Bombyx mori: one gene and its partner. The protein of the gene in region 1 interacts with the protein of each later gene in a biochemical or structural test. Links are inferred from orthologs where the notes say so. Each region holds a gene or a part of one and is shown in the gene's direction. Other genes may lie near its edges.

The links. The genes of interacting proteins can lie anywhere in the genome.
Region 2: the proteins of rho guanine nucleotide exchange factor 7 (region 1) and cdc42 homolog form a complex in vitro, tested with the Homo sapiens proteins (2 studies listed by BioGRID). The link is inferred for Bombyx mori from reciprocal best matches to the Homo sapiens genes ARHGEF7 and CDC42.

Annotation. Positions count from the first base shown.
Region 1 is NC_085110.1:9,317,805-9,322,673, reverse strand, and holds the start of rho guanine nucleotide exchange factor 7, read left to right. Parts: upstream 1-1,476; 5' UTR 1,477-1,663; intron 1,664-1,902; 5' UTR 1,903-1,931; coding exon 1,932-2,115; intron 2,116-2,423; coding exon 2,424-2,586; intron 2,587-3,502; coding exon 3,503-3,721; intron 3,722-3,982; coding exon 3,983-4,181; intron 4,182-4,423; coding exon 4,424-4,645; intron 4,646-4,827; coding exon 4,828-4,869. UniProt on the Homo sapiens protein: Acts as a RAC1 guanine nucleotide exchange factor (GEF) and can induce membrane ruffling. Functions in cell migration, attachment and cell spreading. Promotes targeting of RAC1 to focal adhesions. May function as a positive regulator of apoptosis.
Region 2 is NC_085107.1:13,959,706-13,964,564, reverse strand, and holds the end of cdc42 homolog, read left to right. Parts: intron 1-194; 5' UTR 195-289; coding exon 290-467; intron 468-546; coding exon 547-656; intron 657-793; coding exon 794-991; intron 992-1,823; coding exon 1,824-1,913; 3' UTR 1,914-3,897; downstream 3,898-4,859. UniProt on the Homo sapiens protein: Plasma membrane-associated small GTPase which cycles between an active GTP-bound and an inactive GDP-bound state. In active state binds to a variety of effector proteins to regulate cellular responses. Involved in epithelial cell polarization processes.

The DNA of each region.
Region 1 (4,869 bases):
TCGCGGATCATTTCCCAAGTAAATACAAATTAATCATAAGTAATTAAATGTAATCAAGTTTTAGTTATAATTTTTTTTTTTGGTTGTCAATAATGTCAATGCACTGTCGATTGCACTTGAGATGACATCTGTCATGTACTTTTGTCAGTTTTTCAAGGTTTTTTATTGATGATCACTTTGTTGATGTAACTAAATAAATAAATTAATTAAAAACAAGTAGTGCCAACCCTAGCAAAATTCTCTATTAAACACTAATTTCGTCCCTATTAACCGCAATTTCCGGGTAAATAGGGATTACACCTATTTTTGCTTTTTTTGCTTAAGCTCAAATGCAAGTTGCATAGTTTTAAATTGGATAACAAAGATACCCCCAAGACTCAATCGTTTTGATCCTGATAATTTTAAACATCCTCCCCCCACTTTGAACAAATATTAATATATTTTATTATGTATTACTTAGACATTTTTGTCCACCTTGAGATTTCATTGTTCTTGTTACATGTCTGTGCAAAACCGACTTACTTATGTTAAATTCCTTAGCTATTTCAACTAAAGATTTATTCCTAATTTCATAGGCTTCTATTACTGTTTTTAATATTAATCATATCTCTTAGAAAGTTTTGCACTCTTTGATACGTACACGCGAAGCATATCTGAAAATAGAAAACAACACGTAGGTAACTGATAACATAAATATTGCCAAACAATAAATTAACACTACATTGATAACTTTGAATAAAAGTTCTAGACAAAAACATCATGAATAAACCAGATTCTTACCAACAAATTTAAGAAATATTGTAATAACTACACAACCCTACAAACCTGTACTTATTTATACGTAGTTCGTTTCCATTTCACTTAATCTTATCCCAACTGATTCCTTTTTCGTTGTTATTTGTACCTGAGACGTCCCCAATATCCCCAAAAACAACAGATTTTTACATGTATTTTTATTTTATCAAATACATTAAAACCAATAATAATTGAGACTTACCTTTATATATATGATGGTTCAAACACTAAATAAAGTGCCTTATTCACGATCCATCTTGCTGTACGTCCCGCCAAGGCCATGCACGATGCACGATGCATTTAGCGCTTTATTCACGATCCATCACGGCTGTACGTCAGCTCAAGGCCGCAATTAATAATAATTATCGACGTACGTCAAGCCTATTCATGATCCTTTTGCATCGTGCATCGTGCATGGCCTTGGCGGGACGTACAGCAAGATGGATCGTGAATAAGGCACTTTACGTTTATAAATCACAGTCGTTTTCTATTATTATCAAATAAATAAAAGAGAGCAAATTTTCCTGCACTAAAATAATTACCACCACAAGAAGTTCACTTGAAATGCGATTTTTTATAACTTAGCAGCTATTATCATGCATATTCAGAGTTGTTTTGTGAACTTTCAACATTCTACTATTAAACTACACAAAATGGAAGATTTTACAACGAATATAAAACTAATATTGAGCGTCGAAAGATTTTCCTGGTTTTTTCCCCATTCGCCTCTCAATTCCTAATCACCCCAAAAACGGTACAGAGAAATTCATAGTTCAATTGTAATGTACGGTACTCTGTGCAGTGTTTTTCGACTTGTATTTTTTATTCATTCATGCAGAATGTAATTTTTATGTACTAAATACGAAAAGTAAGTAATTTTGCTTTAATTTTTCACATATTTTCAGTAATGTAAATCCTTGAGCCATACTGAATAGTAATGGAAATGACAGCTACTTTGAATTATAAAATAAACCATTCCGGAAGACGACAATTACTATTTGTCATGTACTCATAGTAGTTTATAATACATTTTTGTTTAAAATGAACATTTTTGGATGTTTTCTTTATGTTAAATAGCTAATAAGTAACAAAAAACTTTTTTTTTAGACTACAAATGGTGCTAAAATTTTGGTAAAATGTCAGCAGAAAATTGCTTGGTTAAGGCAATATACTCTTTTAAAGGTAAAAACAATGATGAATTATGTTTCAAAAAAGGCGATATTATTACTGTCACGCAAAAGGAAGAAGGAGGATGGTGGGAAGGCACTCTGGGTGAAACTACAGGCTGGTTCCCAAGCAACTATGTTACTGAATATAAAGGTAATTCTGCATCTTTCTAATTATTAGATCATTAACGTTTGTCATATAATTGTACATCTTATGCTTCAAAGCCACAATACAATTATAAAACAATTTGATAGTTTTTAATCACATTTTCATTAAAAAATATTTAATACTTGAAAAATTCTGCTCACTCATAGTAATTTAAATGTATTTTAATATTATTATAAGTATATTTTATTAATAAACTATAATTTGGGATTTCTAGTATTAGGAAATTATTTGTATGGGAACAATAAACATATAACTTTCTTATGAATGTAAATGTCTTTAATTAAATCAAACAGATGCATCAGGTTCAGTGACAACATCACCTATACGAGCTGTGTCTGAGATACAGGCATTCCGAAATGTGGTGCTGAAAGACATAATAGATTCTGAAAAGGCCCATGTTGCAGAAATGCAGGGTCTTGTCACCAACTTCTTACATCCTCTGGAAAAAAGTGAAATGTAAATATGTACACCATTTTATATTTATCGTTGTTAATTAAAAAAAGACAAATAAATAAGAGTGAAATAAATGTCTGTGTACTGCTATTTGCATTTAAATAATTTGGATTGTTGGGTTATCAGAATAGTATTATAGTTAATACACAATGATGGAGAATTTTGAAATTATAGAGGCCTTAAAGATACGATGCTTGGTACTCTTGTATTGATTGATGTGACTATGCTGGTGTTAAAATTATGTACAGTCAACATAATGGTATACTCTTTATTTGTCATGGAGGTATCCTAGACCTCTTGATAATTATAACTGTTACACATTAGTGACCTCAATCTAATATAAACATGCAGCCTTCTGACTACCATACATGTTAAAAAGTAACAGGAACAATTGAAAAAAAAAACAAATTTTCCAGACTTTGTGTGGTTTTATTGAGTCATATTTCATTAAATTTAAAACAAGATAATAAAGCACAGATGGCAAACCATTAGGAACAGAGTCATGAAATGAAGTCTGACATACGCTAACAGCTATTTTTAGTTCATAGCTTTATATTTATCAAACTGTTCTGTTTTTTTCTGTACACTGAAGTAAGATATTGTTAAACATTAATTGGTTCACTTTGAACAATATGAAAAGTAGACCGGTTTGTATTGTGACTACCTTAACTGATGTTGATTTGTATCTTTTGACTGGGGACATGCTTGGGGATGAATACTTGGTTAATATTAGATACAATTTGTTGATCAGAGTGCCCTTAAATATTATCCAATGACTGGATGTTTGTTGCAAGATTCTGGCGAGCATGCTGAAGGCTGCATTTTGAATTTGACAGTTTCTTGCTTGGCAGTTCATAGAGCTTAATCTTCATAAGCTTACATAGCATAAGATATACATTTAATTCTCTTTTGATTGCAGGCTAACTAAAGATGAATTCAAACAATTGACCGGCAATATAAATGAGGTCTTGCAGATTCATGAACAGTTCTTAGGGCTGTTAGAAGAAAGTGCAACCAAAACAGGTCCAGATCAGAGAGTAGGAGGATTGTTTTTACAGTGGGCACCAAAAATTAAAACAGTACACCAAACTTACTGTGGTGGACATCCAAAGGCAGTGTGTATCCTTGATAAGTATAAGTACGTTATTTGAATGCCTTTAATATAATATAAACTTATCAACCCAAAAAGTTGAGTCAAAACAACACATGGGTACTTTGGATCATTTTATTAATATTCTGTCTTTATTAATCATGTTAGCTTCTATGTTGCTTTGCTGTTTCTGCAATTTCTTAAAAATTAGTAAATTCTCACAAATTAACTATATTTGCCCCATGTATCAATTGGGCTATGACAAGTGTAGTGCAAAAAACAATGGTAAATTGGTTAATATTATTTTAGGGAGGACTTAAACACGTGGATGGAAAATGCAGGTGCAGTGTGTCCAGGGGTCCTTGTTTTAACAGCTGGTCTTTCAAAGCCATTTAGACGTCTCGGCAAATATCCAGCTATGCTACAAGAATTGGCAAGACATGTCCACGAAGCCCACCCTGACCGGGGCGATACTCATCGTGCATCTGTTGTCTACAAAGATATTGCGGTAAAATTAATATAAACAAATTTTAAGTATTAAGTGCACCGAAGCACGTGCAAGCCGAGAACACTACAATTGTACGGCAGATAAAGTGTTTTAGGAGTGTATAAAAAAGTAAACTTGTAACACCCAATATTGTTGTAAGGGTGCAAGCAAAAATAGGCTTTCAGATCTCTTCAATTACAAACCATTGTACATGCAAATTACCTAATACAGCTGGATTATTCTATTTTTTTCCTATGATTCAGAGTGCTTGTGCGGCATTGCGACGTCAAAAGGAGTTAGAATTACAAGTTATAACCGGAGAAGTTCGTGGCTGGCCCGGGGGTGAACTAGCCTCATTGGGTGACGTGTTACATATGGGCAGCGTGGCAGTGGGCCCGTCCCATCAGGACCGCTACCTTGTACTCTTCCCATCAGCGCTGTTATTACTTTCAGTTAGCAAAAGAGTATCTGCATTTGTGTATGAGGTAATATTTAGTTAATAGCTTTAACTACAGAGTTCAAAGTCGTAAATCATTTTAATTATGACAACCGGATGGTCTAATTTAAAAGATTTGAAAGAGAAGAGTGTTTTCTGATGCCTGTTATGTTTTCTGCTGCTTACAAATAAAGAAATTATTAAATTGACGTGAAATGTAAACTTTTTTAGGGATGTCTTCCACTGACAGGCATCACAGTGTGTAAATTAGAT
Region 2 (4,859 bases), on another chromosome or scaffold:
ATGACATCATTAGGCCTCACCTTGCCAAATCCATTTAAACTTACTTTGAAACACTCAAATGGGGTGTCTTACTCTGCCACTGTATACCCCAGATATTCCACCATCCGATTTATATTTATAATTTATTAATTTATTATTCTACTATTACATTAATTTATGCCTATTTTGAAACACCCCCAATTGTTTTGTTCCAGAAACTTTCTATCAGAGTTTGCTATGAACCAAATAGTCCCTATAATAAAAGAAAATTTGGTGTACAAATTGTGAAGAAACAACTAATTGTTTAAAGATGCAGACAATAAAATGTGTTGTTGTGGGTGATGGTGCTGTTGGTAAAACATGTCTTCTGATCAGCTATACAACTAACAAATTTCCATCAGAGTATGTTCCAACTGTATTTGATAACTACGCAGTCACTGTCATGATTGGAGGTGAACCTTACACTCTAGGTCTTTTTGATACTGCAGGTAAAATTTACTATTTATTGGAAATTTGTTTTGGTATGAAAAATTAACATGCATTATAAATTATACATCTTCATTTCAGGTCAGGAAGATTATGACAGGCTAAGACCACTGAGTTATCCTCAAACAGATGTTTTCCTTGTATGCTTCAGTGTTGTGAGCCCTAGTTCATTTGAAAATGTAAAGGAAAAGGTATATTAAAAAGTATTGTAATTTATTATATAATTCATTATATACATGATATAGACTTAAATCAAAGATAGTGATGTAAAAATTAGTAAATAAGATTTAGCTAGTATGGAAACTAATCTGAGTATTTGACTTTCCAGTGGGTCCCTGAAATAACTCATCATCAACAGAAGACACCGTTTTTGTTGGTTGGGACGCAAATAGACTTGCGCGATGATTCGGCTACAATGGAGAAACTTGCTAAAATAAAACAGAAGCCGGTTTCATTGGAACAAGGAGAGAAATTGGCAAAAGAGCTTAAGGCTGTCAAATATGTAGAATGCTCAGCGCTTACCCAGGTATGAAAATATATCCCAAAAAAATATTATTTCTGATGGTAAAAATATTTTATAATATCTGCTCATGCCTGCATACCTGATGTTTGTTTAAAAGTAATATACCTACAAAGATCCAAAGAAAGTAATTAGAGAAATAGTGGATGCCTCCACTCCGATGCTGTACTGTTGCACATATAATATGTCTAGACTGCTTAAGTAATTATAGATTTCCAGGGTTATAAAAAGAAAATGATTGAAAATGTAGTATTTTACTGTCAAATATTTTAAAAATTAAATTTTAAGTTTTTTAAGTTTTAGCTTTTAAGTTTTTCTTTTCTACATAAATGAAATATAGTATACACTGTAAGCAATAATTTTCTTTGGAAAGTACATCATATTCATCTATGTCCTACCTATTGCTCTGGTGTGGTCTGTTCACGCTCCTAAAGCTTAGCACTACAAGTGGATAGTATATTCGATGCCTCCAATGAACACTACTCTAACTCAAAATTTTGAAATTTTCGTTTTTCACGCAAATCGCTTCACTATTTTAAAAGTATTACAAAATCATTATTGATGGGGATCGAAGCAAGAGTAAATCAGCTAGTTACACAAGAAAAAACATAAATATATCTGCAATAATAAAGATTTTATCAGCTTTTTTTGTTTAAATGCTCTTCCTGTAAACCTACGAATTTGGAGTTAGAGTAGTGTTCATTGGAGGCATCAATTTGATGATCATTCTAGCAATACATACATACATACATTATAGCAATACATTTTGTCAGAATTTGTCGATACAAGTTAAAAAGTTGGCAATACAATTGTGTGGATAAAATAAAATAAATTGCAGAAAGGTTTAAAGAACGTGTTCGACGAGGCTATACTTGCTGCACTGGAGCCTCCGGAACCAGCAAAGAAAAAGAAGTGTGTCCTTTTGTAAGAAGTTAAACGACCTCGCCCTACCCGCCGTTCACCTGCATGGGCAACGCTGTAATATTCAACATATTTTTATAATATATCTATAATAATACCAATATTATGCCATAATCATTAAAAAAAAGAATATTACAGAGTATTGGAATATTTGCCACCAAGTATGTAAACTGTACAGGTTGTCAGTTTTCCATTCATTATTATTATTATAACAATTAATTAAATACTAAAGATGATTTTATAGCATTGTCTTTTGTAAAAATTACTTTTATTTATACCAATTATAAAGTCATGTGTACCTATGTTTATGCAATTATTATGAAGACTTCAGTGGATAGTCAAGTGTCGTGTATAAACCTTTTCCTACATTGTACTAGAAAGGCAGACATTATTAACTCTGTAACTTATGACATGTTCTGCCTATGTAGACCAATCACTGTAATGAGATATTTGCACAACATTTGCTATGCACAGTGCGAACTATGCATTTTTGTTAGTATTATGCTATTTGAATAATATATGTGTAAATGATTGAAATTGCTATTAATTGAAACGCCTGTCTTGGCTGACAGCCGTCCATATTATGCGTTTAATTTTATAAGTTTGGTATGTTTACATAAACATATTAAAACAAGCTTGTCAGGTGAACTAACCATGTAAACTAGAATTTTATTTTTTTGGTCATTTGGACCATTTCAACTGCAATTATAAAATATATTATAATCATAAATATACAGATACAGAGTACTAGTATTTTATACTGAAATATATATATTCACTTTATACAATATTTTATCTTTTAATTTAACAAAGTCTATATTGTTAGTTTCAGTTCATAATGTGGAGTGCAATTTGTAGTAAACGCCGCAATAAATATATTCATGTTTTTTAATACATTATATTGTGAGAATCTCTCACTATCATGTCACAAGAGATCTCTGAACTGTGGTTTCTTGAATGAGCAATATGAATATACTAATCAATATAAAATACATTTAACCACTTGTCAAATCAAGAGTATTACGCTTGAAGGTGAAATTCTCACAGATAAAATAATAATATTATTAAATATTTGTAAAAGTCCCTGAATGCCAATTTATAGAATTTAAATGTGACCACAAGGACTTATTAATATGAAATTAAATGCACTGTGTAATACTCAATGGAAGACGCTAATATAAAAACCAAATAACAACATTTGGAGGAATCACTCATCCGTACCAGGTGCAAACAACAGTATTTTGACATAAAAGTATTTTGGCGCTAAGATCATTAAAATGTATCATTTCATTAAATAATCAATTCGCATATTCATATGGCACCAAATATCTGATAATTGTAAACATAATTTTCAATATAGTTGTATTTATTTCCCACTTTATATTCAATTCAGAATTCATTTCTAAAACATTGTCATAAATGTCTACTGAAAATGTATTTACTGAATATTATTGTGTCAGTAACTAGTTATGTATAGGTGTATATTGAGAAGTAAATAAATTTAAGATCAAATTATTCTCCTTATTTTACACCAACTTTACCTTGGACTTAATATTATCAGCATAAAGGAATATTTTGATTGTTTTACTGAATTTCGTTAAGAGCAATATTTAGATACTTAAACTTGTATGTAGTTAATGGAATTACATCTTCTTAAATATGTAAAATGTATCCACCGATTTTTTATCTGAAAGAAAATAAAAAATTCTCTTAATCGAAAATCAATAAAAACAACGCTCTTGATAGCAACAAAATGTAAACTGTAATGATTTTTTTCATGGATGTTTAAGATATATAATTATTTCAAGTGTGGTGATTTATATAAATTTGAAAATATTGCAAATAAGTATAAATCTAGAATTCATGTCCTTAATACTGTATCGACATTATATGAGCTGGTATGTGTTAGATGTGTGTTAACTATTTCAAAAGTCATGAGAAATAGCGCATATGTAATGCTACAATTTGATTCAATTAAAGGATTTTTTTAACGTATTTTGTTTTAATTATATCTCCTTGCACAGAGTGTGAGCCAAATATTTTAAACTACCTCAATTCCGGTGAAATTGAAGTTCTTAACTATGACCATCTTTTTACGAATAGCCTTTTGGCTTGAGCCTATATTCTTTCCCAGGTTTCAAATTATATTTGTAGTGCATCTCGTAAATTTCGGTTTAGTAGTTTGGGTAGTAGGTTAGTAGTAAACGTAACAGACGGTTACTTTAGTCTTTTCATTTATTCAAGTAAATTCGGTAACTGGTAAAAATATGCTTTTTTATAACGTTGATTTTATCGAAGCATTGACTGTGTCCTTATTCTAAATTCTGCTCCGAATTAGGCTGTGTACCTATCGAAATTACATGAAAATCCATTCAGTGGCTCCGGAGATGTGCAAAAACAAATGGATAGAAAATAAAATATTTTAGTTGTGCACCCTTTTTCTAGTTTATTATTCTTCAGTAGACAAACACTGGGATCTACTGTTTTAAATTGACTAGCCTCTACCCGCATCGTCCCCTCTTCGATGTACCATTGACAAATAATAAAAATATGTTAATTAGAAAGTAAGTGCTCCTGAAATAGCAAATATAAATAGAGAAACAAATATAAATGAAATAAAGTCATTGCGTACAAATATCTATGTTATTAGTAACTTAACTAGGCAGACGTTACACAGATGGTTGGCATCACTAACTCCGGTGGATTTACTTTTACACTAGGGACAGTCGGGGCAGTGCCCAGGACGGCAATTTTTTAGGGCGGCAAAATTTTGAATATAAAAATTTTTTTTAGTCATCAAGTTTTTTTTTTTTTTCCTACCTAAGCTGGTAGTCTAGAGAGGCTATTCCAGCGTAACCGTAACTAGTAGGTGAGCTCACGGGGCTCAAACCTGACGACGATGCTAACACGAACCCTAGCAAGAGTCGTGCTTCGCAGAATCTACCACCGGATT